4 linked regions of the Lytechinus pictus genome follow. The protein of the gene in region 4 purifies or fractionates together with the protein of the main gene of each other region. This does not show direct contact. Links are inferred from orthologs where the notes say so. Each region holds a gene or a part of one and is shown on either strand. Other genes may lie near its edges.

Evidence for each region.
Region 1: the proteins of ATP-dependent RNA helicase A-like (region 4) and complement component 1 Q subcomponent-binding protein, mitochondrial-like purify together in Homo sapiens (affinity purification with mass spectrometry; 3 studies listed by BioGRID and IntAct, with this or other methods). This does not show direct contact. The link is inferred for Lytechinus pictus from reciprocal best matches to the Homo sapiens genes DHX9 and C1QBP.
Region 2: the proteins of ATP-dependent RNA helicase A-like (region 4) and nucleolin-like purify together in Homo sapiens (affinity purification with western blotting; 3 studies listed by BioGRID, with this or other methods). This does not show direct contact. The link is inferred for Lytechinus pictus from reciprocal best matches to the Homo sapiens genes DHX9 and NCL.
Region 3: the proteins of ATP-dependent RNA helicase A-like (region 4) and FACT complex subunit SSRP1-like fractionate together in Homo sapiens (co-fractionation; 3 studies listed by BioGRID and IntAct, with this or other methods). This does not show direct contact. The link is inferred for Lytechinus pictus from reciprocal best matches to the Homo sapiens genes DHX9 and SSRP1.

What each region holds. Positions count from the first base shown.
Region 1 is NC_087246.1:21,876,953-21,885,232, reverse strand, and holds the start of complement component 1 Q subcomponent-binding protein, mitochondrial-like, read right to left. Parts: upstream 3,079-8,280; 5' UTR 2,896-3,078; coding exon 2,589-2,895; intron 1,223-2,588; coding exon 1,081-1,222; intron 427-1,080; coding exon 348-426; intron 1-347. Other genes in the region: beta-1,3-galactosyltransferase 1-like, read right to left, coding at 8,096-8,280.
Region 2 is NC_087258.1:12,360,562-12,369,039, reverse strand, and holds the start of nucleolin-like, read right to left. Parts: upstream 3,428-8,478; 5' UTR 3,342-3,427; coding exon 3,309-3,341; intron 1-3,308. UniProt on the Homo sapiens protein: Nucleolin is the major nucleolar protein of growing eukaryotic cells. It is found associated with intranucleolar chromatin and pre-ribosomal particles. It induces chromatin decondensation by binding to histone H1.
Region 3 is NC_087246.1:34,904,440-34,912,012, reverse strand, and holds the start of FACT complex subunit SSRP1-like, read left to right. Parts: upstream 1-4,214; 5' UTR 4,215-4,320; intron 4,321-7,573. UniProt on the Homo sapiens protein: Component of the FACT complex, a general chromatin factor that acts to reorganize nucleosomes. The FACT complex is involved in multiple processes that require DNA as a template such as mRNA elongation, DNA replication and DNA repair.
Region 4 is NC_087256.1:29,477,183-29,484,813, reverse strand, and holds the start of ATP-dependent RNA helicase A-like, read right to left. Parts: upstream 3,286-7,631; 5' UTR 3,124-3,285; intron 1-3,123. UniProt on the Homo sapiens protein: Multifunctional ATP-dependent nucleic acid helicase that unwinds DNA and RNA in a 3' to 5' direction and that plays important roles in many processes, such as DNA replication, transcriptional activation, post-transcriptional RNA regulation, mRNA translation and RNA-mediated gene silencing.

The sequences.
Region 1 (8,280 bases), on a different chromosome or scaffold from region 4:
TTTTGACAGACATGTATTTTAGATGACGTTGCTGGCTTTCCATACATGTAGTTGTGGTTGATTGGATCAACCTAACTCTTTGTAAGATGGGACCCACAACATGTGATCTGGTGTATATGGAGGAAGTGGGAGATATGCATGTAGATATCAACATGGAACCAACTTGTGATAAATTCAAATCAATCTAATCTATGGTAGCCAGCCACATAACGCTCGGATATACTCAAATCCATTTGGATGTAGGGGAAAGTTGCATACATGGATAAGATGGATCCAATCTAATCAACATTATAACCTATTCAAGTACACCACGAAAAGCTATGGCAAGCCAAAAGCACCATACTTACTTCTGGAGCAACGTCTTGACCCTGCTCATCTCCTTCTTCCATCTCTACTGAATGGTTGATGTTCAACCGAACTGTTATCCTGTAAGTTCAATATCCAAAACAAGCGGATATCAGGTCAAATCAGATTCAGTGTGGATGTGCAGCATGCACTTTCATTTTCACATTACCATTTCCGGATTGCCCCCATTGTTTTAGTCAAAATACACATCTGGGAATAATGAAAATGTACAATGGTTAAATATTTCAAATCTTATTATGCAGGCCTGTAAACAGATCCGCTAATAGCTGAATTGGGTATTATTTGATTCATTCAATCCATTTACATAATTGGCAAAACACTTGTCTGTGTGTCTGTACAATAACTACTGTCATTACAAGTTGGACACCATGCTCATACATAGGTTTTAAACAATCATCATAAACAAGTAATCTTGCTTTGTTCTCAGCCCTATGAACAAATATTTTGTCCTGTTTTCCCAACTCTAAATAATTTCTTAATACTTTAAAATAGATAGATAGGATGAAATACTGTATACCCTTCCATGCACCACAAGCACTTGGCTGTTGAAAAGTATATACCCTTTTTTCCTGATGTTGAAAATTTTGATACCGTTTTCACTGTATGCATTTACGCTGCCCGATCATGGAAAAAATGACCCGTTCACATGCTTTATTGTCCATCTTGTAAGTGTCCGTGGCCCCTTCTGTATGCCTCATCTCCCAACCATCTTACCTCTCTCCTTCTATATTCCTGGTGAGTGTGATTTCTGCATCATCAACAGTGACTTCAAAACCTGGAATCTTTGGAACGTCCGTTAGACTGCCTTGTTCGACCTCAATCTCTTCTTTCAAGAATTTCACTAAATCACTATCAGCTGTAAAAGGGGAAAAACAATTTGAACAAATGATGACGATGGTGTGATATAATCATTTGAAAGTACAGAGGGGTAACAAAAGTTTCAAAATTACACATACATTTAGACGTTTTTGTAATTAGAACATTGTCCTGATTGATCTTGCCCATCTAAAAGTCATCAAGTTGATTGATTAAAAAAAGAATTAAAAAAATTACACACTGAAAATTTCATAAAAATCAGATGTAAAACAGTGATGTCATTTTCAAGATTTGCTAAATTTCACAAATAGTTGTTATCCCTCAGTCTGGGACAGTGGGACTTGGATAGGGCTATGTGTCTTGAACTCGCCCCATTTGTATTACATGACTCAAATCTAATGATAGTGCACCTATCGGTTATAAAATGGTCATAAATTTAAAAATATTTATCCTATGATCCTATCCATACAAAAGTTGTTTCTTATTGTTCTTTGCTAACGTTACATATCCTCGATATGCATCTGCAGCGTTGTGTGGCGTTGGCGAAGAACAATATTCAATAAGAAACAAGATGGCAGTGTGAACAACGTGCAAGTTTTCCCAGTTTTTTCATATTTTTCGTTTTTTTTAATGAGTTCTTGTTTAAAAATGAAATCAATATGGTAGAAATGTCGGAAATGACGTTGTATCCCATTTACATGATTTAGGGCTAGATCTTTTAGAAGGAAAGTAGAAAATCTGTTGGTTTTTTTTGGAACACGCACATGAATGGGACGCAATCCCTGGCTCCGTGGAGGGTAAGCATACGTTAGTAAATGATTTTTACTCTCTAGGAGCCTCCTGGCTAAGACCAAGCAGGGTCTCACAGAAAATACGCTCAAAATTACATTTCCAGTTCCGCTGAACTTGATCCGTTGGCTCCACTCACCAAATACAGAGACCGAAGTTCTAGCGCGATCTGTACAGCTACAGGGGACTCAATGGCCATATGTTTATGTACTTAAGTTCGGATAAAACAAGGAAGTGAAGTTGCGCGACATCCGAAGTAAGTCACTGTTTTTTCCCCTTTTAAGTTTATTTTCCCCCGTTTTGGTGCATTTCAGGCCAAAACGGAATAATAATCTCTATTTTGGTACAATTCTTTTTCAATATGAAATAAAGACAAAAATCGATAAGCCCCGTCGGGGGGATTTTGCACTGTAAGTCCCCTAATGGTGGCTGCACGATAGCGAGCCGTCTGTGTACGAAAAACTAAATCTAACTCTAAGAAAATAAAAAATGTTTAAAAACTCCTCGAAACAGACGGCTGCCGGCTGCCAGCTTATTCGACTAAGTCTAAGGCAGGGGATTCCTGCTATGAATCATTGCACATCAACACAATTTCTACACTAGATCTATATAATTACCTTCAGTATGCAGGCAAGCGCCTTTACAGCCGCAGGAACAGGTTTTACTTGGCCAAGAAACCCGTGTTGCTCCAGTACCACCTACCAGCGGTCCTAACGTGTCGTCCCCGCGGTTCCCCGTTGAGTTTCGCCGGCTGCCGCTGGTGCACAAATTCCACATCGATCGTGACAAGGTACGCGGTGTTTGACATTCTTGTGATGATTTCAGCAAATATCTGGAGGATAATTTGAAACTACTGAACTGTCTTCCATTGCAAACAGCCCTGCTGACAGCGTTAAGTACTAATTTTGAGGAAGAAAAGGCCATTTCGGGCAGTTTTTCTAACACTACACTATTCTCACGTTCCGCGACGTCGAAAACACATGTGAGTTTTCTCTGTGCGCTGAGCCCCTAGCTAGCTAATTGAAAGTTCCCCGGCCACGATTATGCATGCCCCTGATAGCAAATTATCACTTTAGCGGAGCGGCGAAATAATATCTTTATAATTATGGAGTGCCAAGTGCCCACTTCCTAGTTCTGCTCAATTCTCTATTTCATATCCAAGTTCAAGTTCAATTTATTCAAAAACCAGACATATTATGAGTACAAATCAATGATCAGATGGTACAAAAGAATACATGATACAATATGAACGGTTTTCTAGGACCCCGAAGAAGCACAGCTTGTGAGTGGGGCCCTATACCTCTAAATAAGATGTAGATCTAAATGTATAAAATGACAAAGGAGAATACATAATAAACAGATATATCGACTACAAATATGTACAAAATGTACATTAAACAAGTGTCAGCATAAACACAAACACACTCACACACACACACACACGCAAACACACATGACTAGGGTGGCCAACTACGAGATACATGTAAAACATAATAGACTCTATGGAAGAAAAAACTTTCTAATTTAACTAAGATAATAGATTGTCAAAGAGGTATTTTTTACATTGCACTTTAAACCGATAAAGAGTTGTACAGTTCCTAATATCAGAAGGTAACCTGGACACTCCTTGATACAATATCCATTCAAACATACATTTTCCGAACCTAGAAATGTTCTTTCCGATGAAGTTTTTTTCTTGATCCGTGTTCCTATGGGGATCCTAGGACAATTTGCATAAATCCAAGATGGCTGCCACATGTCCGGGCACATGTCATCTTTGGCAAGGCGTTAATCCACACTTTGCCACTCTCGACCCAGGTGCTAAATGGGTACCCGGCAGGATGTGAAAGTTATTGTATGTTTGAATTTGCCAGCGCCATAATGAGGCTGCGATGAATGCAAGGAATGCTCTCCAGGGAGTGGAAATTGTGCACTTTTCATGCGGGATTGAAACAGCGGCGTAACAGGGGTCGGTGGCCAGGGGGGGGGGGGGGGGCAAGAGCCAAAAATGTCCCAGTCATATCATGGAACAGGCAATGGCGTCATAAGGCAAAAATTTTGAGGGGGCGATATGGCGTATCGGGTAAAAATCCAATTTTGAGATAGATTTTGACATAATGTTAAAAAGATGATATCACATTTCACCCTCCTCTCTTTCCTTTTTTCTCTCTTTTTTTGTACGCCACGGTGAACAGGATTTTTGTTATGATTGTGAGCATCAGGGCGAAGCTCTATATGCTCGAGGGGGCTGAGTATGGCGCTTCTGGCAAGAAGTAGCTTGATATAGGTCCCGAGCGAGCGAAGCGAGCGAGATTAAAAAAAATCACCTTTTTCATGAGAATCAGCTAACATGAAGATAGATTTTAACGTGATATTCAGAAAAATATAATACACTTTCCTTTCTTGCCTCATTTTTTTGTTTGGTTGTAGAACTTTTGGGGGCCATGGCCCAAACTCATCCATATAACAGTGCTTTATGGGTGGGGTCCAGGGCATGCAGAGCCCCGGAACCTCTTGATATCAAAGCCTTACAGATGGCCACTTATTTTAATCAAATTGCGTGTATATTTATAAAGCTTTAACACAACACAAATTCAATGCAGTTGTGTATCGTTATCATCCAAATATTGTGAGGGGCACACCATAACAAATGTGGGAAAATTTATAAAAAGTCGCCAGCGAGAGAAGCGAGCCAGAAAAAAATGGCCTGTTAAAATATAAATTCTAATTATGTGATATATTTTTACATCATTATAGCAAATATCGTGTCATATATTTTTTTTCATTCATCTCATTTCGCTGCCTCCTTTATTTTCTTTTATTTCCCCTTGGCTGTGGAACCACCCCCCCCCCCTCCCCGGTACGCCAGTGCTTCAACGTAAAGCTTAATACAGGAAGGGTTCATATAGGGGCCCGTTATAGAACCCATTAAAGGTTACAGATGAAGAGCCCCCACTGCACGGGGTCTTGACTCTTGGACAGAGCCTTTGGAGATTTAGCAAGTTTATGATAGACTTTCATATACGACATTATGCTATATACCATCCATTTTTCTTCCCGCTCGTTATCTCAATCCTCAGCAGCCCGGTAGTGTACGTTATCTTGTCCCTATTCTTTATTTTCCAATTTAAATTTTGGCTAATTCCATTCTGCCTTTATTTCCCGCTTTTGTTTGCCTTTTTGTCATATTTAATTTATTTCCCTGTCTTACTTATCATGCTAATGTATTTGTATATCGGGCCGAATTGTATTTTCTCACTTGTTCTTTTTTCCTTCCTTTTCCCGTTATCTTTCCGTTTTCCCTTTTTTATGTCTTTTCTGATTTTTCTTTTCCCTTTTCCTTTCCCCTTTCCCTTTTTTCTTACCTTTCCCTTTCTCCCCCCCCTTTTTTTTTCCCGGTTTTTTTTTCCCGGTGAGCTCCGCCAGGGGGGGCAGCTTGCCCCCCCCCCTGCCCCCCCCCCCCACTGGATTGAAATGAATACAATGACCGGGGTAATAATATGCTGTAACGCGCTTTGAGCCATTCTGGGAGAAGCGCTATATAAAAATTGGCTATTATTATCATTATTACGTTTTTTTAGTCTTTCTCCCTATTTGTTTTCCTTTCCCCCGTTTTTTTTTTGCCCATGCCCCAGTGCCCAGCCCCGGAATGATTCGCCACTGGCTGCAATTATACCCTCGCACATTCATGGTTTAAAGATACAACGTCATAAGGAAATTGTATGTATATAGTTATAATACATATCTTTGATTAAGTTTCAAATGACCTTCCTCGTTCGATAACATCCATATTCCAGAAGAATCACCAGCTGCATTCATACTCTATTCACCAGTCTTTCGTGTTTCATTTGCATAGATTGAGAACCATATATTTAGGAAAAGACCCTTTCTTATTTATATACTGGTCCTATTTATTGCAATTATTTTTTTTTGCAGGTGTTTCTGCATTTATTGAAAATATATGAAACACAGTAATCATGGTGAATATAAAGAAATACAAAAATAAATGAAAGAATTACAAATTGTGACGATTACATAATAGAATAATAATTTACATAGATATACATAATTTACAAAGATATTTGGGTAGAACACTTCAATGATTTAACATCTGTCTAATGTTTATACTTTCAAACATCATTTGAAATTAAAGCTCGCTATTCAATACAAATAAACAATTAATTTTGCTGGTATGCTCCAATAAATTATTGAGTATACCATCATAGACGTTTCTTGATATCAGGTTATTCATAATGAATAGGAATAGTGAAATACATTGCTTTAAACAGACGTGTGGAGCGGTATGAGCTGCAATTTGTAAATAGTATTTGTGAAGTGTTGAAAATCTGTACCGGATGGGATAAATGCCATTATATATTCCCCTATCAGATAATGCTCACAATGATATTTATTCTGGCGTATAACTCATTTATCACCCCCCCCCTCTCTCTCTCTCTCTTCCCTCCCTTCTCTTTCAAATATATATTCTCAAAACTTCTAAAACACAACACCTCGGGAAAAAAACATCTGGCCATCATTATTGACACCTCCAAGTATATATTCACCAAAATTACATGAAAAAACAAGTTTAGTTTGATAACACCTTTGCCCTTCTCCCTGGGAAGACACCTCATTCATGTCATTATAATATAGACTTTTTTCCCTGCCACACAAAACAAAGCGATAGATAGAAAAACGCACTGGATTCAATGTAATGGAGAGGATTCGTCGATATGAATAGTCCCAAAGTATCGATCCTCTTTTCATTCTACTGTGATTGTTTCGAGTGGTGTTGTATTATAGATTTGTATAATTGTACTCAATTAATTAGCCATGTGTACCTTTTCATTGTACCAGACAATGCTTTATAAAGTGTTGCCTGTCTATATATTATGCTCGCAATCTAGACAAATTCTTTTTGTAAATAATAGTGATAATAATAATAATCATCATCATCAGCAGCAGCAGCAGCAACAGCACCATCATCATCATTATCATCATCAGCAGCAGCAGCAGCAACAGCATCATCATCATCATCATTATCACCATCATCATCATCATCATCAACACCATCATCATCATCACCATCATCATCCTCATTATCATCATCATCACCATCACCATCATCGTCATCATCATCATCATCACCATCATCCTCATTATCATCATCATCATCATTATCATCATCATCATTATCATCATCATCATCATCATCATTCAGGCAGGGTAGCAACTTCAGCCCTCTTTCTCATGAACTGTTTTCCCATCGGGCCCTTATTACCCTTCTCCATTCTAATACACCTAGAGCCTGTCAAGAAAGCAGATCCGCAGAAGATCCATTTTTTTTGTATGACTCGGCCGTGGATCAAACCCATAACTTTCCGTTCATGAGGACGGTGCTCTATATACAACTGAGCCACCATGTCCAATGGACCGGATACTCATTATCCAGAGCAACAGATGCACTCCACCAACAAATATTGTTTTTTTAGACCAAACAATAAGTTTTGATATTATGTAACTGCTCTGTTGTGGTTCGAGAGCAATTTGCCAGATAGAAAGCATGATAAAATATGTAGGCCTACAGCAATATTACTTAAAATTTATTTATTCAAATTATTAAGAATAATAGTAATTATTATTATTATTGAAATTTATCACATTTAAATATATAAATCAATACGAGCATATTATCACAGCCCGAAATCTACTAAATTATCATCTAACAAACTGAAAGCTGGACGAACATGTGAAATGGACTAAACATACATTAAAAAATATCGTGTATTTACATGAAATGAACAAAAAATGTTACAAAAGAAATTTTTTTCGATTTTTTATGAAGCCTAATATTATCCAAGATATAAAGGTTCCTTGAAATTCCTAACAATATTTGACGAAAATTCACTGCAAATTTTGCTGTACATTTTCAAAAACTTAAATAATATTCTTGCTCACATTTATTTCAAAGGTTTAATGGTTATCTTATGAGGTAACACGGTCCAAATCAATTGAATTCACTCCTATAATATGTTACGCCTAACGCTGTAATTATTTTATTTCATAAATGCTGAAAGCAATTTTTTTTGTCACGTTATGAAATGATATTGTACAAACTCATTCTCTATTCCTTTAATAATTCAGGAACGAAAATTCCATTAATTTGATTCTTTTTCAGGATGAGTGTCGTGTTAGAGGTTGTTCCGTGTACGAGTTCAGTAGATATACAATATCTGCTGTAGTCGTTCCATGTACTCTTCATTTCCTTTAGGGATAGTTGGGCCATAAAATACAAGTAATCTTTATCAT
Region 2 (8,478 bases), on a different chromosome or scaffold from region 4:
TTTGACATCTCGTGCCCTCCCTCTGTAATGACACAGAGTTTTACCCTCCAAAAATTTTGAAAACTAGAATTTTTCAGAGTTTTTACTATGTTTTCTCTCCCTCTTTAAAAGGATCTTTGTGCACTTATTTTGTGTTTACTGATTTTATTAAAAAAAATAAAACTAGACAAAGATCCTACATGTATGATTCAAAATTTTCATGCAAAACACAAATTCCATCCAACTAATTTTTTTTTTGCCATTCCATCAGAAAAGTTTTAGGGGTTTCATATAATGTGGCATTAGCAAAGAATTGGAAAAGTTATGCATTTTTGGGATGATCATTTACCAAAACTTCAAATCGGTTATGCATCTCAACTACAACTACAAGTACCTTACCACTTAAACATGATAGAGGGCGAGAGTGGAACTGGTCTGTCTGGAAATTGGTAGGAAGGGCGAGCCGAGTCAGTCATCTATTAAGAAAGCCTGAAGCCGGGCCTTGGTACCATTGTCGCAACCAGTTTATCCACAGACTCTCCGCCAATCATGCAGATTTGGTACTACCTCCCACTGTTCGTAAGAAGTTATTTACATGTAACTTAGGGCCACGCAAGACCCGTACTACAAATGCACAGGCCACGCAAGACCCGTTGTCTCGTATTACCTGCATGATACCTAGATCAAGGGCCACGCAAGACCCTTCACACCATGGCCACGCAAGACCACTGGGTCACTTCAATACCATTTTCCGGCTACCATTGGAGGTACCCAATTACTTACACTCTGGCAACCAACTTTTGGGCCACGCAAGACCCACAAACCAGCCACATGTTAATTTCATATAGCAGGCCACGCTAGACCTCCCCTCTCCAACACATTGTATCGAAACACAATTGGATCACGCAAGACCCAATCTAACCACAATCATAACGTGCATTCATGTAGAAGACTTCGCTAAGCCTTCATTAAATTTAACAAGTCAACATATCTAGACAATTTGCACCACGCAAGATGCAAAAACTGGGACGAAGATTAATGAAGAGCAGCATTCCTCCAGATCCAGGCCACGTCGGTGTACAGCTAATAGTCTGCAGAAGGATAAATTTCAAGTTAGGATGATTTTAGGGGTAATTATGCAGCATGATTGTTGGATGCTCAGACTGTGGATCCACTGACCACTCCTACCCATTTGTGAAATGGACCCTAAAACAATGCCTGACCTCAGGGTACCGGAAACAAGTACACATATTTTCCCCCATCTTAAAGGGGAATCCAGCCTTGGCCATAAAATGTTGTGTTGGGAAGAAAAATAAATTATACAGAATGGTGAAAGTTTGAAAGAAATTATAGCTGCTTTAAAATTGAGATCACTAATATTATGTAGATTTCAAATTGGCAGCTGAGTAAGTAAATTATGACAAGGGGCAAGGACAACTTTCCCATAGGCCATGTACTTTATTATCAGGGATTTGTGGTTTTCTCCTAAGTACCCATTCCCCTGGGGCAGTAATCTAAATACAACCCAGGTAGTATATTGTTTTAAGACCTCATGACAGAAAATTATAATTTGAAATAAAACTTTTGGGAAAAATGACATTTTAGCCATAATGTGTATTGGAGTACATTGAATAGTCCTTGCCTTACATCACTATGACATCCCATATGCGGCCAATTTAAAGTCTCCATGGGTATAGTGATTACCAATATTTACAACTTTTAAAAAATTCACAACTTTCTTGTTGTTTGTCCAATATTGTTCAAACTTTCACCTATCAACTCGTCTGATTTTTCTTTTCCTTATTTGGTTGGATTCCCCTTAAAAAATTACACGTATGCCCCAATAATCTATTTCCAGAGGCAAGGGTTTCATAAACTCGGAAACCTATAATTGTTAGGCCTACATGATTTTTTTTTACATTAAAGTAAAAAAAAAAAAACACTAAAAATTTGATCAAAATCGGACAATAACAAAGTTATGGCATTTTAAAGATTATTCCAGTGAAACAATTCTATGCATTGATGTCACTTGTTCTTTTGTATTTTATTAGGTTTATTCAATTTTTTTCTATCAAGAACTACAAAAAATTGGATTGACCACTGATATAGTGCATTAGATACCGGTATTCATTGCTGCAACTTATTAAAGGAGACACGTTATACACACATGTATGAAAAAATGAAACAATTATGATTTTATGTAATAACATGAGAAAAAGTGGGGATGTGACATCAGCCCACAAAATGAATATTCATGACGACGTGCGACTACAGTATTTTCACAAAATATTGCTTAACTTAAAAATTCACCGACTCCGTTATGTGTTCTCGATTTTGATGAAATTTTCAGCATTTTGCTCTGTGAATTTCAATCTATTTTAAAGTCAAGATTTGTCATAATTTTGGTCACACACTTGACCAAACTTTTTTAGTTACATGTATGACATTTTAAAAATCTAACTCTAGGTAAAGAAGATTTTGAAACCCAGGCAGGATGTTAAGTTTCATTTATGTCCAAGTTTTATCCATATTTTTCTAAGTTATGACATTGATAATTCAAAAACTTAACCTAGTAATAGTATAAGATTTCTATGTTGACGACGCAGGATTGAAGGTGAGACACAAATTAGAGAGAAATTTGATTTCCTTGGAAAAAACTGAGGTCAGTCATTTTTAGATTAAACAAAAAAATGGTGCCCCATGTCTGCGTACCAATTCACTTTGCACAAGTTTCAGGGATTTTGTCAAGCAAGGCTGCATTTTATTTGGGATATTCCATGAATTTAATGCTTTCAATTCAATATTTAGCACCATGTTGAGTCTAAATAATGTTCAGACAAGGGGCACTGTGCAGACTAGTTGGAGCATGTGGCGATCTTGCACCAAAAGTCCAAATCTAGCCAAGTCATACTCGTCATAGATTAATAAAACTCAAATTTGGGCAAACCCCCCCCCCTTAAAAAAAAAAAATGGACGAACATGAATAAATTTTAAGTCAGAGGACACTACACAAGCACAGCATAAGAATAATTAAGTTGTCTGACACTCGGTCTCAGTAAGATTTCAAGACCATTCACCAACCACGGCACGCCGCCAGCCAGCCTCACCACGTGGCCCAGCACACAGACCGCGTGTTGCTTTTTTCTGCACGCAATCACCATTCATGCCTCATGGCCCATTCACGTTCACGCACTGTGTCTCCATTTGCAATTTCAACGATCCCAACATGCCATGAAAACGAAGAATTTTAAGTGTCAACAGGGAGCAGCATGACACTCAAAACACACTTTTCAAACCTTACTTATGGTAATCATGATTAATAAACGTACCTTAGTCTTCTTTTGAACTTTGTTGGTTCCCATTTTGATTAAATTTAGTGGTTCTTTTTTAATCAAGATAGAGCACAGTCTTCTCCGAGAGTTTACGTGATGATTAAATGGCCGAATTTTGCGAGGCGTTGTACGGCGCGCGAGACGTACGTGTCGTCGTACGCATGCACCATAGGCGCAGCAGGCATGCACTATGGCAGCGTAATGGAACAATGCCAATGTTTTCGGAAGGGGGGGGGGGGGGGCAAATCAGTAATATGCCCCTCACCTGTCGTGAAATTTGCCTCCTCTCTTCTCAAAGAGGGTGCGGAACCAGGGGTGGGGTGGCTTCAGCCTCCAATTTTTTTCAAAACCATGTACAAGACGTAAAAATGACCATCCGGGGAGCGTTTCATGAAAGGACTTGTCGGACGTTTTATCTGACAAGTCCCATTTGATCCGACAGTTACTATAGTAACAGTGCCTCTCAGCCAATCAGAATCAAGGAAAGATGTCAGATCTGACAACTTGTCAGACAAAAATGTTGATGAAACGGTCCCCTGATTTTTATATGGACATGCAGCCGCCCCCCCCCCCATTTTCAAAACAGTTCTGCGCCCGGGGGGGCACTCAGTATATAATGCATAGTGGGTATGTGCCGCGGAGGGGACCCCCATTTTTACACTCAAATTTCCGTTCCAAGGCATAGCATTTTTGTCTTATTGAGAAAAAGAACAAAGAAAGCCGCTCCAAGGCATAGCATTTCCTTCTTATCGAGAAAAAAAGAAGAAAGAAATCCGTTCCAGAGCTTCGCATATTTTTCGTTACGCCGTTCCGGTCGCATTGATTTGCTACAATTTTGGTGAAAAGCGGCCGTAGAGCGCTTTTCGACCATCGCCTAAGCGCGAGCGCACCCGGCGGAGGCCGTGCTAGCTGCGTTATGCACGATTGCCCGTTCCATACGCACTCACAGAGATACGGAGATCCGTTCCGAGGACCCCCGTTTTCACAAACATTTGTAGTTCCGAAGCCCGTTCCGAGGACCCTCCTTTAAAATAAGCCCGCTCCAAGGCCCCCGTTTTTTGCCTCGCCCGCGGCACACCCCTACCACTTTTTTGGTCGAGTGCCCCCCCCCGGGGTTCTGCGGCCCCTGTGAGAGACTCACCTATGTGCTTGCTTTGCATATAGAGATTATGTAAGTTGAAAGCTGTCACCAGCACTGAAGGAATTCAATCCGGCAATGATGCCACCTCATACGTGCCCGATAACCACCTACCCCCCCCCCCCTGAGCCAACATTTTGTTATGGGGGGGGGGGTGAAGATGGGATAGGCGGATAGGCCTACTTGAACTTGGTTGATTTCTTCCAAAATACATTCCTTTTTAAATACATTTGCAGTACAGTTTTAGAACCTGGGGTACCTTAATTTTAAATGATATCGCAGCACAGCCGACACCCCAAATGGAGAGCAGTTTGGCACTGCATAACTATATTTCACAACTTTTTACACGGGGTCCAGACAGCTCGACAAGCCGAACAGCCAGATCGGCTGGACAACTCGACCCAATTTCACCCAATTAACACCAAAAATATGCCTGAAGTAATCAGAGCTGACAATTTCATTCATGTCGCTGAAAACTCGGTTTAAAAAAACAGGGGATATCAAGTTTGGTATTGGTGTAGGGCCCCGTTTCATAATGGCATGTTAAGTCCACAATTTCTGTAAGAAATTTGCTATTAGCCAATTATATTGAATGATTTCAGAAGCTTTAAAGGACAAGTCCACCCCCCCAAAAAAAATGATTTGAATAAAAAGGGAAAAATGCAATAAGCACAACACTGAAAATTTCCTCAAAATCAGGTGTAAAATGAGAAAGTTATGCTATTTTAAAATTTCGCTTAAATATGCACATCCTGGTCGGTATGCAAAAAAGAGAATTGATGACACCACCCACTCACTATTTCTTTTGTATTTTATTATGTGGAATATAAAATATTACAATTTTCTCATTTTCATGTGGAACAAAGTTCTATTCCTCCCTGAACATGTGGAATACAATTATTTAACCATTTTGTTGTTCAGTCAAGCCAAATCTGTAAAAATCAAAGTATTGTATAAATTAATAAAAAACAAAAGAAATAGTGAGGGACAAAGACATCGATTCTCTCTTTCGCATAGAACCAAGGTGTGCATGTAACTGTCATAACTTTCCTATCTTACATCCCACTTGGATGAAATTTTTAGCGTTATGCTTGTATGAGTTTTCTCTATTAATTCAAATCAACATTTTTCTGGGGTGGACTTGAGCTTTAAGCTGTTCTTGCAAACTTGTCATCATAACAATTTTCATGAAATGGGCCCTGTTTCATAAAGGACTTGCAACTGTTGTGCCATAATCGCAACTACCATGGTAACAGGGCTCAGCAGCCAATCAGAATCAATGTTACCATGGTAGTTGCCATAATGGCAAAGTTACAACAGTTGCAAGTCCTTTATGTTCGGGTTGGAAGCACAATCAAGATTGCCTTCCTTAGATCCAAGAACCAATGTGAGTTTGCAAATCTCATCCCAATTGATACTGATAGCTCAACATCTAGTAAGATTCATCCAAGGACCAACTTCATTTTTAATTTGGTGCTGTACTGATGATTTAAAAAAAATCAGCCCAGCACCCAAAGGTCAACACCGAACTTCACATCCCCCAGAGCCTAAGCTGTTCCTCCTTTTCTTTGACTTCAGGGGAGAGCTTCATGAAGAATCTTGTCAGGCTTTTCAGCCGATCAGATGCAAGGATTCAACAGTGAACATCACTTGCAAAGAGCTTTGTGAAACTCCCCCACAATCAAATGTAAATACAGTCAAACCTATCTATAGTGAAAACCTTACTTTAGTGGCCAACAAAATTGTCTCCCATTTGAAAGTGATACATGTTTAATAGAACCTGTCTATAAGGTGACACAACATTTGCTCCTGCAACAATTGCTCCGGTCTTAATATATCAGAAGGCATAGGGTTAGACTTAGGATTGTAATAGAGTTTTTGGTTCAGAATGATGTAAATATTAGGATTAGGTTTTTTTTTTTTAGTTTTGGGGGTTAGGTTTTATGTTTCGCTCAATGTGCAGATTTTCAATCGGAGCAGTTGTCACCGGAGCAAATGTCACGGAACCATCTAAAAAATGCCACCTGTCCACAGAGACCTTTTTTTTTTTCTGTTGGGTGGCTGTAACAGACAGCTTTGACTCTATCTCCTTTGTATCAGCACTGCAACCAGGGAAGTTTGTAAAGACTATGATTGGTAGAAATATATGACATGGCACATTACGTTTGATGGTGGACAGAATATTTATTCACAAAATGCAGGAATGTACATGTACATTAAAAACAAATCGAGCTGCAGCACAGTGAGATTTCTGGGTAAATCTCAAGTTGATAGGAAATCACCAGTAGATCTACAAGAATCCCGACCTAACAATGACTTTAACTAAAAGAGTAATGTATATACTTTGTATTCATAATGTATTCAAGACTCCACATTGATTATGTTAGTATTCCTACCCATGAAAAGACGTTAATAAACTTCCATTGAAAACTGGTTGAATTGATGACAATCGCATTAATGAAATTATTGGAAAACTAAGACTCTAAATGGTACCTCAAAGCAGTGGGTAGGTGTTAGTTGGGCAATTTCATGTTCTCTCTTCAGTTTGGGAGAGATTTTTAATATCTTAATGATGAGTATTGGTACCCAGTCCTCTGGTACTTACATGATATGACGTATATTAGTTCTGATAATAAAATAATTGTTTGGATCATACATGACCGACAAGCTGTAAACCAACATAGTTGAGAAAATGGTAGGTCTGCTTGAGGATTGTAACGATTCTGCCATTTCAGCAGACAATATGGAAAATACTAAACCAATTAAATACAAGACAAAATCACATTATTGTAAATAATCACTTTGACAAAAACAACACATACAACATGCACGAAGGGAAAACTCTAGTGCAATCCTAATATTACTGAAAACCCATAATGAAAATAATGCTCATCTGTAGAGTAAACAATCATAAGTGCAAAACCAGTCATTTTACACTGCAAATTGCAACACTTCTATCTCAAATGTGAAATTTCAAGTATGAGACATGGATGGTCAAAGCAATATCATACACCATGTTGTACAGAAATATTATTGGTGCCCAGAAGCTAGTGTTCTAAAAAGATGATCTGAATGATTTCTGAATGTCAGAAATTCATATATTTATTAATCTCCAGAATTTTGGCTAATAATTGGGTCTACCTCAAGTGTATGACTGTCCAAACTGTGTCCATAAGTAGTGTGACATGAAACAAAAGGTCGTTAGAAATTTACATAAACAACCTATTATGTGTCAGTGACAATGTCATGCCCCTTAGTACAGTATTATATGGTCTCTATTTACACCTCTACTGCATTTTTAAATTACTTTTGGCACAGTGGGAGGGTCATATCCTCAAGAAAAATGAATTCTCTGCCAATATTTAGTACTAAACAATGTTACTTTTTACATTTGAATATTGATAATTGTTAGTTCTGTGAGCAACTGTACAGTGTTATCACACAGCAAACAAGATTATGTATAATGATAATCTTTTGAATGAACAATCCCACTTCCCAAACTTATCATAAAGATAGTTGAAATCAGATAGCTATATTATACAAACATATTCCATCAATACACACATAGTTATATACATCATGCTCTGTAATAAGCGGACACAATTCATCGATACTTTCAGACGCGGCTAGGCAATCATTTGATCTACCTTAACACATAATTTCAACAATGATCGTCATTCACCCATCGATACATTTCACTCCACTTCAGTTGGAGTGTACACAACATTCAAGCCTCTGGTCTTTCGTGAGAACACATCTGTGTCCAAGTGTGAACCCTACTTCTCAGTTTCAAAAAACAAAATGAAATATTGGGTAGCATGACTTTCCTCCTTCATGTAAATTGTGACATTTTCATTTAAATTTCATCATGTAATGAATGAGTATAGCTCAAAGAATTATGCACAAAAAAAATCATTACAAAGATGTTTTTCTTTAATACTGAATTTAATTAAAATACATTACTTCAATGAATGAAATAAATGGAATTAATAAGAATATTTCAATTCATATGGAGACTTTCCATTATCG
Region 3 (7,573 bases), on a different chromosome or scaffold from region 4:
CACTATGCTATTAATATTATTACAATTAATAGTTCCATCTCATCCATTTTCTTTTCAAAAGACCCTTTGAACACTTTTATCTTACTAATGGTGTGAAATATGAAAAGCTTCTAACAAATTATACTCAAATATTCAAATCATATATTTTCTGAAATGGTTTCTTTCCAAAGGTAATGAAAACTTTCAGTAAAGTTTTAGTTAGATTTAGCTCTTGATCAAAATCAAGTAATATCATAATTATTATCAAGCAGAAATTTTAAATTTTTTTGCCGAAATAGCAGACACAAAACTTCTCTTAAAAAGTCACCAATGGTGAGTCCTGAAGTAATACTTGGAGATATTACACCTCTAATTATTTCTAAGAGGCCTAATATTGTTTTAAATTGGCTTGGAGAACCAATGAATTTGAATTAGAGTCCTATTCCCATAGCTGACCCTTGTCCATTAACCCATGTCTACCCATCATAATCCTACTCTTAACAGTGCAGCAAGTCCTTCACTTGCTTTGATTGATTTATTTCTGTTTCTTTGACTTCATTTTTTATTGTTTTCCAACAAAATACAATTATTTTGACATTGTAGCATGAGCAGGAGGGAAAAAGATCTGAGGTGAAGAGTGATATTCAGGGGTGGATCCAGTGTCACTTATGCTCCCCCCCCCCCCCCCTCTTGACCTCTTTTTAGGGGTACTTTTGACTCTTTTTGTACACCACTAAGAATGTATTTGGAGTCATCATTTTCTTATAGAAATAAAAACAAAAATCAGTGAGGAATTTGCAGGAGACTGCTATTGTTAACTTCAATGTATGGTGATCTCCTATATAAAAATATTCAGGTGGCATCTTCTTGACTATTCATAACTGATGATCTCTAGATTGATGCATGTGTATGTGAAAGAGACAACTACTGTGAATTTGTGTAAGGGAATTTGAGTATTAGGTGTAGATCATATTTTTTTAAGACATGGCTTTCAGGGAGTATATGTGTAAGTAGATACATTGGTGAATCCATTGTCTGGGGGCACAGGTCCCTAGAGAAAAAATCTGAAATTTAGACAAAGTACAAAAAAAAAGTGTGTGAACATAATTTGTTGGGCCATGATTTTGAAGTTGAAATTGACATTGCCTCTGTTGACAGAAAGTTTATTCAATTTAAACCAGCTTGATACATTAACAATTCCAGCATTCAAAATTTGTAATGAACGAGGATCTTTGTGAAATTAGAAGATATTCAAATTATCAGAACCAAAAAAAAGTGAAGCTCCGTAATGTCATTAGATGAGGAATAAAAGTGGTCCTAAAATGGGGCCCTTTGGCACACTGCATTGGGGGTAGAAGAGAGTCTGAACTAGGTCCATGTGATATTGTCCATTTGATGAGTATAGACATAATCTAGAGAGCAAAGTAAACTGTTGTGATGGGTTGTTATGAAATGCCTTGTTCAAGTAGAAGAATATTCCAATTATGTGTCCTTCATTTAAAGTGACAGCTCTAATTTTATCATTTTTATTTGAAATTATGTTCTGTTGAATCATTTTTTTTCTTGAAAATATGTTTATTCAAATAAGTATATTATAACAATGAATATACAGTGTGCTAAAAAGTTAGTGAACCCCAACAGAAATTGAACATATATTATAGTGTTCAGTTTTGCCATGTTTTAGACATTTACTTGTGAAGTCAGTTGATAAAATATTACATTCAGTAAAGTTTGTTTCTCTGGACTCTCGGGATAATGTAGTGCAGTCTACATTCAACACTCAGCATGAAAGAGTGCATTTTCTGGTGGGGTTCACTAACTTTTTGACACCACTGTATTGCATTTAAGTTTATTGTAGACCATTATTGATCAGAATTTTGGACAATGGGAAGTAAAGAAATGTACAGTTTTGATTAGTCATCCTTTTTTTAAATGGCCTTGACTCTATCAAGTTATTTTGAGATAGATCTGGTTGGCACCATGAAATAAAGAGTGGTTAGAAATATTGGTTACAGTTATATCAAGCAGGTAAATTATTTCTTTTGTGACCAAAAACTTGTAAAATCTGAATTAGTTTGTTATTTCACTTGCAATACTTGTTATATGTTATTAATTATTGTCAGATTTATGGCATATATATGTATTTTGTAAATACAGTCATATTTTTTGTATTGATATCAATAAACCTTTTGTTATCAAAGGATTCTTGAATTTGTTTCTCTTGTGTGTTATTCTACCTACAAGGAACTTTTTCTTGTAACATAAATAATTGAACTTTATGACATTTTATAATTTTGCTAGATTCACAAAACAGATATATTACAAATGAGGGAATCAATGACGTCCTGAGTGACCCACTCACTATTTGTTTCTTTTGTATTAAATCTGAAATATTTTAATGTTTTCCCCATTGCGATGTGAAATAACTGAAGGTTTGATTCCTCCCTGGACATGTGGAATTGCAAGTTTTGCAATCTTTTGAAGACTTTCTCATGTGTCAAATCCGCAAAGCTTTTTAAAAAGATAACTAGGTTCATAAAATACAAAAGAAAATAATACTATGTGACATTATTGGTTCTGTCATTTGGATAACATGCCAAAATAAGCAGAAAATTTTAAAATTTTGTGACTTTCATTTTGTAATCCGTTTTTGATAAAAATTTTATGAATTTCTGGTTGTTGGATTTTTTTCAGAATCTATTTCAAATCAACTTTTGGTGACATGATTGCGATGGACATGACCTTTAATTTATCCTTTCCACTGATAGTCCTTTTATTATGCATGTTTGAAAATCTATTAACAATCTGGGATAATGAATCTGGACTTGCGGTCTGGTATGCTCGTTGAGAAGATGAAAAAAAGATCATAAAAAGATTATATTATTTAATACAATCATGTGGATAAATGCTGCCAGGCAATTAGTCAAGCCTCTTGTGTTAGACACAGATTTTTAAACCTGATATAAACGACGTTTGAAGTTAAATTATAATATGAGCCAGGAAGTCCCCCCCCCCCCCCCGCCCTTGCCCTTCTAAGTTGCAATTTTTAGAATATACTCCAAAGCATTGCAAACTAAGTGATTAAAAAGGGGTAGGATATAGTAAATTTTGGCTAGCGTGATGTGAATTAATAAAAATAATATTGAAGAAGCATTATCTGGAATTAAAATATACCATTCATAATTCCTTTTCTGTTTTACTGCTACCCCCTGATATTTTCTTCATGTTCTCTTATAATTTAATATAAATTATTATCCTTTTCTTTTTCAAATTCTCATTTTCCTTCTTTCTTTATATACCTGTAATCACCCACTAGTCATCTACTCAACCCATTTCTTACTTTACTCTCTGTTCTGGTTGATTCTCCTGTATACCTTCCCCCCTCCTTTCTCTTTTCCTCCTTATTATATTTTCCTTATTCTTTGGGTTTTTTCCCCTCCCACCCCACCCCCTTGCCTTCTCTTTCTCCTCATCCTCTTAATATTTTCTCCCATCTTCCCCATTCTCTTTCTTTTCCTCCTTTCTCGTACTTTTCTTTTTTTTTCTTCTCCTCCACCTTTTTCTCCTTTCCTGTACTTGGGACTTTTCCATTCTTTTCTTCTTCTTCTCATCCTTATTCTTCTTCCTCCTTTCTTTACTTTTCTTTGCTGTCCTTTAGACCCCTTTTAACGCCTGTCCTGCCGTTCCTGTAAGCATATCTTTTTCATTGACCAACCTGTTCTCCCCATTCCTATAAAGCGCCTCTTCCTAGCCGCCATTACGATTGGCGGCGGAAGCCAAAAAAATTAGGGGGGACGCAGGAAACAAAATTAACAAGGCCCCCCCCCCAAAAAAAAAAAAAAGTTATCAACCAAAAATTTTAGGGGGAACCACCTAAATTTTTTGACAAAAAAAAAAGTTATCAACAAAAGATTTAGGGGGACCGTCCCCCACCTCAAATTTAGGGGGAAAGGACCCCCCCCCCCCCCCCGCTTCCGCCGCCTATGGCCATCACTCCCAATCCTTCCAAGTTTCCAAGCACCTCCAATCATCACATTGATTTTGTAAAAAGGTATAATCTTTTGAAAAGAAAAAGAGAAATATGAAGCAACCAAACTTGGGCTTACGTAAATAGGGGATTTAAATCTGGTAGAAATATCGAGATGGGGACCAAATTGATTGGACTCCGTGTCCCGACTCGTGTGTAAAGTCGATCGACTCGAGTCAACGATTCGGGATTTCCCCTTTACCCCGGCACGACTAGAGAGGGCGACAATGACTTTCGCGCATGTTCCAATTTTTCCCGCGACATGATTAGGTTACTGTTCTGCAAATGCATGACATATTAGTAGGCGGCAAGTAGTAAGAATTCCAAAAATTTTCTGTAGAATCTGATTTTTTGTGCTTATCCCCCTATTTTTAGGGTGCTGAATACGAATCTGCTTGTTGCCAAATTTATAAATGCCGTCTTGGACCGTTGCCATGGCAACGGATTAATTTCTCAAAAATTGCATGTATCCCCCTGTAAATGGTAGATAAACATGATATAAATTAGCCAATAGATTGATTTCAGGGTTCCAATTAAATACAAATGAAATTCGAAAATATTTAAGATCATCAAATTGGTTCCAATTGGCCCGTTGCCATGGTAACTGCTCATTTTTCCTCCAGAAAAGTAAAAATTTTGATTTACAGTTGTAGAATCTGTTTTTTTTTTCATTTTCCCGGCGTTTAGGGTGTTAAACATAGGAGTGGTTTTTGCTTAATGTATAAATACACTCTCATTCCATTGCCATGGCAACCAAATAATACCTAATTTGGTAAAAAAAGAAATAACATGGTAAAAAAAAACAATGGCGAGAAATACAATAAAGGCGACCTACATGTAATCTACATGCATTGGATTTTTCCCACTCATTTAGAATAAAAACTACATAAGTGTTATGCATGAGTTTATTGGAATGGTAGGAATTGATGTTGCCTTGAGAATGCTTGAATTTAAAGATAAATATCAATATTGCAAATGGCCCGTTGCCATGGTAACATCTTATTTTTATCAGAAAAGAACACATTTTGATAAAAACATATAGAGTCACATTTTTTTCGTTCATTTCCGCTAAGTTTAGGTTGCTAAAAATAAATATGCTTGTTGGTAAATATGTAAGTACCATCTCAGACCATTGCCATGGCAACCAAATACCAACTTATTTGGTAAAAAATAACATGTTGAAAAAGGTAATGGTGGGATGTACAGTAAAAACGAACTAATCTACATGACCAAAACCAAAATTACGTAATTATTCTGCATGAATTCATTAGAATGATAAAAATTGATGTTTCCTTGGGAACGCTTGATTTTATTAATAAATATCAATGTTGCAAATTGCCTATTGTCATGGTAACGGCTCAGACCAGAAAAGTTTTAATAAAAATATGTAGAGTCCGATTTTTCTTTCATTTCCGCCAAAGTATACACGTAGGTTGCTAAACATTGATATTATTGTTGCTGCTGCTTTGGTAGTGTATAAAATAATTTAATTTTATATGATAAATATCAATGTTGCAAATGGCCTGATGCCGTGGTAAACATCACTCCTCGCAAAGTTCCCTTCTGCAGACTTTCAACCTGAAGAAAGTAAACTGAGCAGTTTGCCATAGATCTGGATACATATCTTCAGAACCTCCCTGCACTCCCTACTCATTACGACACATTTTTAGAGCTGCTGAAGAAATCATCAAGGAAGAATATTCCACAAGAATGCCGTACAAGCTATATTCAGGACCGGCAGAAACACCATGCAGATTCGGATCCTTGGGAAAGACTCTACAAAGTCCCAATCTAGGTCCCAAGTTACCGCCGGCCAAGTGGCCACCAGCTTCTAGTGAACAACCAAGGTAACCCTCATAATCACCCGCGAAGATCCAACCTAAAAGTGTGCGGACAGCCTGCCAAGAGTCATCTGAGTTCACAAGACCTTTCAGCATGAACGACTTGTGCAATGCTATCAAGCAATGAAGATCAGCAAGGCAGCTGGATTGGATGATGTCCTCGATCTGTGAGCAGATGAAACATCTTGGACCTGTTGCAATCCAACGGCTGCTTGACATGCTAAACTTCTGTCTGAGTGAAAGCACAATGCCAAACTTATGGAGGAAATCAAGGGTAGTTGCCTTACTCAAGCCAGGCAAAAGACCAGCCATTGCAAAGAGCTACCGGCCCATATCTCTGCTTTGTCACACATACAAGATCTTTGAAAGGCTCCTACTCAACCACATTGCTCCCTTGGTGAATGAGCTCCTCATTCCAGAACAGGCAGGATTTAGGCCGGAAAGTCCTGTACTAGTCAACTGCTGAATCTGGCACAGTGCATTGAAGATGGTGGCTTCGAGAAAGGGTTGATAACTGGAGCAGCCTTTGTTGACCTCATTGCAGCTTATGACACAATCATCGAATACTCACAAGGTAAGTCTTTGAGATGACAAAGGAAGGCTTTAGCTAACACAGATGATTCAGAGCATGCTCTCAAATCAGCAGTTTTTGTGCATCTCAGTGGTTTCAGTAGCAGATGGCTGACACAGAAAAGGTCTCCCACAAGGAAGAATCATCGTCCCACTCTTTAGCATCTACACAAATGACCAACCAATCCACCAAATAGTGAGAGCTACCTGTACGCTGATGACATTTGCATTGCTTCACAGAAACAGTCCTCTGAAGAGATGAAAAAGCACTCAGCAATGCTCTGGTAGGCATGACTCCTTACTACGCTGCAAATCATCTCTGGGAAAATCCAGAAAAAACCCAACTCAGTGCTTTTCACCTAAAAAACAGAGATGCAGACCAATAACTAAGGTTCAGATGGTATAGAAAATGGTTGGAACACACCAGTAAGCCAATCTACCTTGACGTCACCCTAGACAGTTCCCTTACCTACAAAGACCATGTTTCCAAGACAAAGGCTAAAGTTGGAGCAAGGAACAGCATCCTGAAGAAGCTTGCCAACATAAAATGGGAACAGATGCCAAAACCATCCGTGCGACAGCTCTTGCTCTATGCTACTAGACTGCTGAGTATGCAGTCCCCATCCGTTTTAGGTCATCACATGCTGCAAAGATTGATACAGCCCTGAATGCTGCTTGCAGAGCAATTACTGGCTGCGACAAAACAAGAGCAGATGATCTCTACCTACTGTGTGGTATTGCCCATTCACACATCAGAAGATAGGTGTCAGCAAAGGTGGAAAAACGAGCAAGAAGATCACCCTCTTCATCCACCCTTTAACTATGAACCTGCCAAAAAGAGATTTAAAAAAAGATGTAGCTTCCTTCACTCGACTGAATCCCTTGATGGCTCTGCTCACAATCAAAGGGTCACCCTATGGTCCAACCATCTACAGTCTGTGACGCACAAGCTCTCCTATGGACCTAGCGAATCACTTCCTAGGTTCAAGTGAGGAATGTGGAGTGTAAAGATCTTTTTTTGACCATTTGTGCTCTAATAAAAAAAAAAAAATAGCCAGTATGCCAATTTTTCTAAGGGTTTGTGAAATTAGGGAAAATTCAGCTAGATACCATTTTGAGAATATTTTGGGCAATTTGGCCTAGTAATCTGACAGAA
Region 4 (7,631 bases):
TCACCTAGATTTCCTCTAATTTGTGTAGAAAATTGAGCAGATCAGATTCCCACATTTCGATCGACGACTCAGATTCTATTCGCGTATATATCGGCGAACAACGAATGTGACGATTTTACATTTGCTCATTCGCACCCGTCTTTTGAAACCGACCACCCGCGATACACTAAGTTTACGGCTGATTCTTGTCGCGTTGGCGAAATATTTTGACTCTTCCAAATCAGTTCTATGATGTCAACATGCTAAATGATTGTCTCACTACTTCCACTGCGAGCTCAAGCACATGATTCGACGATTGACGACGGATTTTGTTCTAAAGCCGTTTACTATCAGATTTTTTGGTATGAACAACTGTTTTTCGGCGGGGTTCGGGTCTGGTCAATGCAATTTTGATGAATTCTACTAAATTTTTACATTTTTTGTTGTAAATCGATTCTTACCGTTCCTACGGACACTGCGCCTACTCCCCCTTGCGTATCGTTTGTAATATGCAATAATTTTAATGCGCGCAAGGTGGTCGGTTTCAAAAGAGGTGGTCGATATGTGGTGGTCTCACTCTACCAAATATCTCATAAAATTTTAAAGAAAAATACAGGCGCAGGCGATTCCATTTATTTTGGATCTGTGGAAACACTGTAATGTCACTTGTTCACTGCAACCATCCTGCCTGTGGGGAATCTACAGGTAGGACTATGGTATGCCAATGTTGTACAGAGCACACACTTTAAAAAAATCATTAAAATATCACTTTTGTGACCAAAATTACTAATTTCCATACAGTTGCAATTTATTCTTCATTAGTAACTTGGGAATAATTTTTGTATTCACCAGAGCGCTCAAAAACTTGATTTTTGGGCATATTTTTGTGTACGTCCTCTATTGGTGGAAAGTAGGCAAGAAAATTTTCATTTTTGATCTCTATTTTTAATTAAGAAAAAAATAATTTAAAGAATCAAATTTACTTAAGAGCCAAGTTGTATGAAAAATAGGTGTAATGGAAACTGTCAGTGTAAAAAAATCAAGCATTTGTCCCAAAGAAAAAGAGAAAATAAGCCAAACATTGCCACCCTTATTTTGCCACACATGGAGTAGGGAGTTCGGTGACTTTGAAATCTTGAAGAATCCCAACAAATTTCATATCATTGGAAAGCTTGTAAAATAAGAAAAATATTGGTGCTTCATTCAACTCATTGTCTGATATATTGACGGAGATTATTCTAATTTACAGGGGAAAATATGCAGATTTTGTTCTGTCAAAAAAAATATTAAAGGCTTGGGTGGGGCACTCCTAGTACCAATGAGGTCCAACATTACATGTATGGACCTCATAGGCGACATCAGTAGTATTTTTGGTTAGAAATCTCTGAGAACAGGATATTTAAACATTATATCACAAGTACAAGCTATAATTCCTTTCTCTTATTTAAATTATAATTTTATAGTGTAAATGCATCGTTAGCAACAACAAAAAATGAAAGAAATGAAGGGGAACTTACATTTTCACAGCTTTTTCCTGATTTTCTGGGCAGCTGCTCTTCTCTTCTGACTCGCGATCGAAGCTGATATGAAGATCACGTGATTCGCGTTCTCGTCAGCTGATCGGTTGGTTATTCTTTTCGTCAGACGTTAATAATATATATTTTATAATGCTAGCATTCATCGCTAATTTAGGTGAAAGAGATTGAAGTTAAACAGCGCCAGGTCGGAATCATAATTATTTTGGAAGAGTGTATTTATACACTCGATCTCATACCTGACGTAGACGGCGCTATTCAACAAATGCACAATCTTCAATATAAAAAATAAAACAGAAAGAACGCCTTGAACACAGGCCAAAATGCCTAACGATTTCTCCGCGGCATTAACAACTATCGTAAAGGGCGCTCCATTTATCAATAAAGATGGACGCTAAGCTGTCTATGGCGACAAAATTTGCCGCAAATATTTACGAAGAATTGTGAGAAATGGTCTGAAAATGCAACAAAAGAACCGGTGAGTACCGATTAAACATTATTAAATTTGTAAATAGATTATACATACCTTGTAGATTTAGTTTTTAAGGTGATATTAGTGCTTAGTTCTAAGCTAGGGAGGCCCAAACGCGCGTGAGTGGAGTCCCAGTTTATTAGCACGGGTAAGTATTGGGGTGTCGCCTAGAGTGGGGTGGGGGAGACAGTTTCTTTTTGAAATCTTGAAGGAATCCCAACAAATTTGGTACCATTGGAAAGCTTGTCAAATAAATCAATTCATGTCAAATATTGACAGAGATATGTCTGTTTAAACGGGAGAATGTGCAGATTTTTTTACAGCAAAAAGTAGATTTTCATAACTTACACAAAATGCAATGAATGGGACTGTGTAGGCCTAATACTTTTTTTAAAAGTGCAATGCGCTGCTATGCGGGGCAAGGCATGCCCTTGAACTATACATCATTTTATTCATAGAACTTCAAAGTTTCTCATGGTATACTATAGGTTTCTATAGGGTTTTTCCTCCTCCTTTAATGGCTTCATATTTGTTTTATACATGGGTGCACAGACAGATACAAATTCTGAAAGTCAAAGTGGCATTTCCACCGAACTCCCTAACGTTACATGGAGATATAACCGAGAACAAGGTTATATCATATTCATAACCTTGTTCATTGAATGAGTGTGTAATGTTATTGTTAGAGTCTACACCCCATTCGCTTAGACTTTGCAAAATGCAAGTGATTCACTTCAGCATTTCAGGGATTTTGATGAAAAAGGATGCATTGTTTGTGAGGCTCCACGCCTCCAGTCTCAGTCTCACATGAAATGCCCAAAATTCATTATGTGCAGACTTGGGGAACTTTGCCATACATGTAGTCTACACACTTTCTTTCATTGCACCCAAAGCCAAGGCAAGGCAAAGAAATAAGCACAACATCATACATGTACAACTGCAGCCGGCTTACACTACGCGCAAGCCGTACCCCCATCCATCACATGGCCATGCCAGCCAGCCACGCCGGCGAAACGGAGATCTTGTCATATGGACGCCGCTTGTTTGTCGGAGCCTGGTGCGAAAGTGCATTAGCGCCATTAAAAATTAGACAACATTTTTATTGAATAGAAATCTATAAAAATAATTATTAAATACCGAACTCACGAATCAGCAACTCAAGAAAAGTATAAAGTCTCTAGAGTAGTCCAAATAAGAGTACTTTCACAGATTATGTCTTGATTTGTGATGTTTTCTCTCTTCGAGATCTAGTTCAGTGGCCTCGACCTCCAATCGCCATGTAAGGTCACGTCGTTAGAGGGCGTTTTATGTTTCATGACGAGATATATGGAGGTGCCGTGGCCGAGTGGTCTAAGGCGCCTGGCTATACAAGGAAAGTCCGGGGTTCGATCCCCGGCTACGACACCTATGCTCTTTTATCCTGCATTCAAATAGACGGAAATGCTTTACGCGTTATTTGTAACTAGGTGTGCACTTGTTAAAAAAAAAAAAAAATATATATATATATATATATATATACCGTATATATATATATATATATCCACAAAAGTGGAGGTGCCGTGGCCGAGTGAGTCCGGGGTTCGAACCCCGACCGCGGCACCTATGCCTGTGAGCAAGGTATTTAATGTGTAATGCTCTTTTATCCTGCTTTAAAATAAATGGAAATGCTATAGGCATTATTGGTAACTTGGTGTGCACTTGTTTTTAAAAAATATATCCACCTCTTGATATATTACATATCTATTCTATATATCATAGCTCTTTTATACTGCATTCAAATAAATGGAAATGCTATACGCATTATTGGTAACTAGTTTACTTGTTTAAAAAAAATATATATGATCGATATCTCCATGGACCATTCTGACGAGATTGGCGACAAATCAGCGCTTTGCGTATCACGAAGGCATTTTTTTGTTTTATTAAGTTGTTATTTATTGAATTCATTCAATACACCCATTCAATACAATATCGCTTTTTTTCTTAGTAACATAAGAAAAAAATAAATAATATATATACATAGTTGTTTTATCCTTCATTTGACTTGTCTTCAGGGGCGGTATATTCTAAGAGCACAATAGCGCTCACATATGCGATCCGGCCGGTGCGACGCGATTTTTCAAAAAAAAAAACGCGATTAAAAAAAAAAAAAAAAAACACGCATATATGCATCAAATATGAAAGTTCCAAGAAGTAAAATTACTTTAAATAAAGTTTTGCATATCGTTAGGAAAACTAAAATCACTGTTTTACTTTGCGGCAAGCCCTTTGGTCGGAGTAAAGTCCAAATCGGCTTCAAGTCACAGCCAATGATGACGTCATTATACGATTTGGAATTGAATTTCATTCATTCAGGGATCGCGTCGAGGCTCTAACTGGACTGAATTTCGATTTCAGAAGCCACTACTGTGAAGTCTGATCCGTAATATTAGTTGGAATATCCATATCAATTGTTGGTTATCACAATCAATTTCGGATCGTGTGAGACGAGCTTTAGCGGTCAATTAGCATTTTGGTGTGTCCCTCGGCTTTTTTATATTTGGCAAGGGTGACAATGACCGAAACAATGACAATAACATTTATTCCCACGGTCACCAATAGAGTGGGTACTGATTGGAGAAACAATCATAAAAATGTACAAAATCATCAATGTCATTTCATCAAGTAATTTGCCAATCATTTAGAGTAAATTTAAAAAAAGATCAATAAAAAATACAAATTTTAGCATTAAAAATTATAGTAACAAATGATATAGTACCCTGAAGCTTCAAAAACATATGATTAAAAAAAGAAAGAAAAATTCCAAATAACGACATCATCACATCGTTGGCTATTAAACCACAGTCAAAAAGCTCAAAATATCATATTTCGAGCGTAGCAAAGTTTAGAAAATTTGATAATTAGGCCTACATGAGATAATGGATTAATGCCTTGAAGCTTAAAAACCCAGCTTTTTAAAATTGTAATTAGCATATGCATCTGTCTAATAAAAGGCAAGTAATGGCATCAGCATATTATTGGCTCCAATATTCAATTAACAGCTCAAAATATTGAATTTGGAGCGTAACTTATTGAGAAACGAAGCATAATTTTCCTGCAATTTTTTCAAGGTTGGAACGGATTTCTGGTTTTTCACAATTAAAATGGCTGATTCATTTTTACAGTATTCGGTCTTTCAGTGTAATATTTTTTTAAGATGAAACTTTCTTTCTTTAGCAAAAGAAGGACATTAAACGAATAGATAGTGAAATTCATCACCAATTGATTGAAGGTTGCATAATGTACAAAACCTTAATATGTTCCTTTGACGATTTTCATATCTTCCTGAGGCAAAAGGGTGTCGATGATTTCCAAAACGAAATCTACAAAAACGCGATTCTATCTTTTTTTATTCATATTGATGAGGTAACTTTCTAGACGAAGATTTTCTTTGAATATATAGTAGTTAACACACTGAGAGTTTTCGGTTATGAACGTAAACCAATTATGCAACTGTGAATCCTATATTCGTAGATCTACAGCTTGTTTTACCCAATATCTGCTCGAGGAATCAGAAATGTCAAATAAATTCGTCATGCCCAATCTATTAAGAGTTTGCTTTGGCGTTAACCAACTTGACTGATATATACCTTGATCAGAAAGTATTTTTACAGTCTCGAAAATCATATACTAGACATTTTTGTTTTCCTATTGTGAACTAATCCATACCGTTCATCATTCTTTTCTCAATATATTATTTTATCTAATTTGAATATTTCAAGTTCGCCTAAAACCATGCATGCAGTTTGCCGTTAATATCTGCTTGCAAAATTTCATGTGAAACACTTCTAGATCTCTAATCACATCAAAACCCCATATTTCTGACCCATAGAGGAGTATCGGTAAAACAAGTTGATCAATTCAATTTGGATATCCACTGATAAATCAAGATGATAAATTTTATTCAACGTGCTATACATTGCTCTTCTTGCTTGATTCAGTTGTTTAGCTTGAACTTTCCGAAATCAATTACTATAATTGAAGGTAATTCCAAGATATACATAGTCATCTACTACTTCAAGAGCCTGGTTATTAAAATGTAAAAGAACCCGTTTTTTCTCACTTTGCCACGGGAGAATATAACAATTTTCGTCTTGTCTATATATTCACATTTAAATATCATCTTTTACAATAATCTGATACTGCATTGAGCGCACATTGAAGTTCTTGTTCAGATTTGGCAAGGAGCGTTGTGGCCCAGTGGATTAGTCTCCGGACTTTGAAACAGAGGGTTGCGGGTTCGAATCCCAGCCATGGCGCAATTTCCTTCGGCAAGAAATTTATCCACATAGTGCTGCACTCAACCCAGGTAAGGTAAATGGGTACCTTGCAGGAATTTATTCCTTGAAATATCGAGCGCTGGAAAGGCTGCTTGAACTACACCCAGGGTAATAATATCCAAGTCCTTTGGAAGCGCATAGAGACGTTATTCATAATTGTGATATGCGCTATACAAGAACTGTTTATTATTATAATTATTATTTGGCAAGGACAATGGTATCATACTGCATAAAGTAATGTAAACAACTCCATGTACATATCAATTCCATGATCAAGTAATAATGACTGAAGTTTCTCAGGTAAAACATCAAGACCATCATATCGTTCTCTGATAAATTCTTTAAAATCGTTCATCAACATAGCAAACAGTAAAGGTGATACATTTTCTCCTTGACGCACTCCTATATTACAGTCAAATAGGCCTGATTTTCACCATCTTTGATAATACACGATTTACCTATTATTATTGACCACTTTGAAAAAGTTTCCATTTATATCACTTAAAAGTAATTTGTTCCAAAGTGATGTCCTATCAACAATATCAAATGCCTTGCGATAATCGATGAACGCACTGCCAAACAGGTATAATTCAAGTAACAAAATGTAAAGTAAAAATATGATCTAGCGTTGAATGATTATTCCTAAATCCAGCTTGTTCATTTCTAAGAACACAGTCTTCTTGATATAGATTCAGCCGATGATTTAAAACAGCTGTGAAAAGTTTACCCAGACAACTCAATAAAGTGATACCTCTATATTATTGTTTGGATCTTCGGGTTTCCCCTTTTTCTTGTAAATTGGCCGTATTAAACCAATAGTTAAATCTGTTAGTACAATTCAACTTTCAAACACACTATTGAATAATTCAAGAAGAAAAGGAAGCAGAGAATTAGTTGAGTTCTTAAAAAATTAATTAGGTAGCAAATCTTCACCATTGCGCCTTACCGTTTTTATTTTTTTTTAACTGAGTGATTACCTCATCTCTGTCAATTGGTCTGTTTAAAACTGCATTACTTGTTGGCGATTCAATGATTATTTCACCATTTCTTTCTTTGTGATCTTGATTCAAGTTCCTGAAATGTTCACAAAATGCTTCAATCTCAATATTTCCAAGCGCTCCTTGAGTACGCTTTATGACCATGGCCATGACCGCGCGAAGAGTATATAGTTACGAGACTTTTGGTATTTTGAAAAGTCCGAGTCATAGCCGCTCTCAAACAGTGGCGTAACAGGCGGGGGGGGGGGGGGGGTGCAGGGAGGGCAAGCTGCCCCCCTGGCGGATTTAACCGGGAAAATAATTTTTAAAAAAGGGAAAAAGAGAAAGG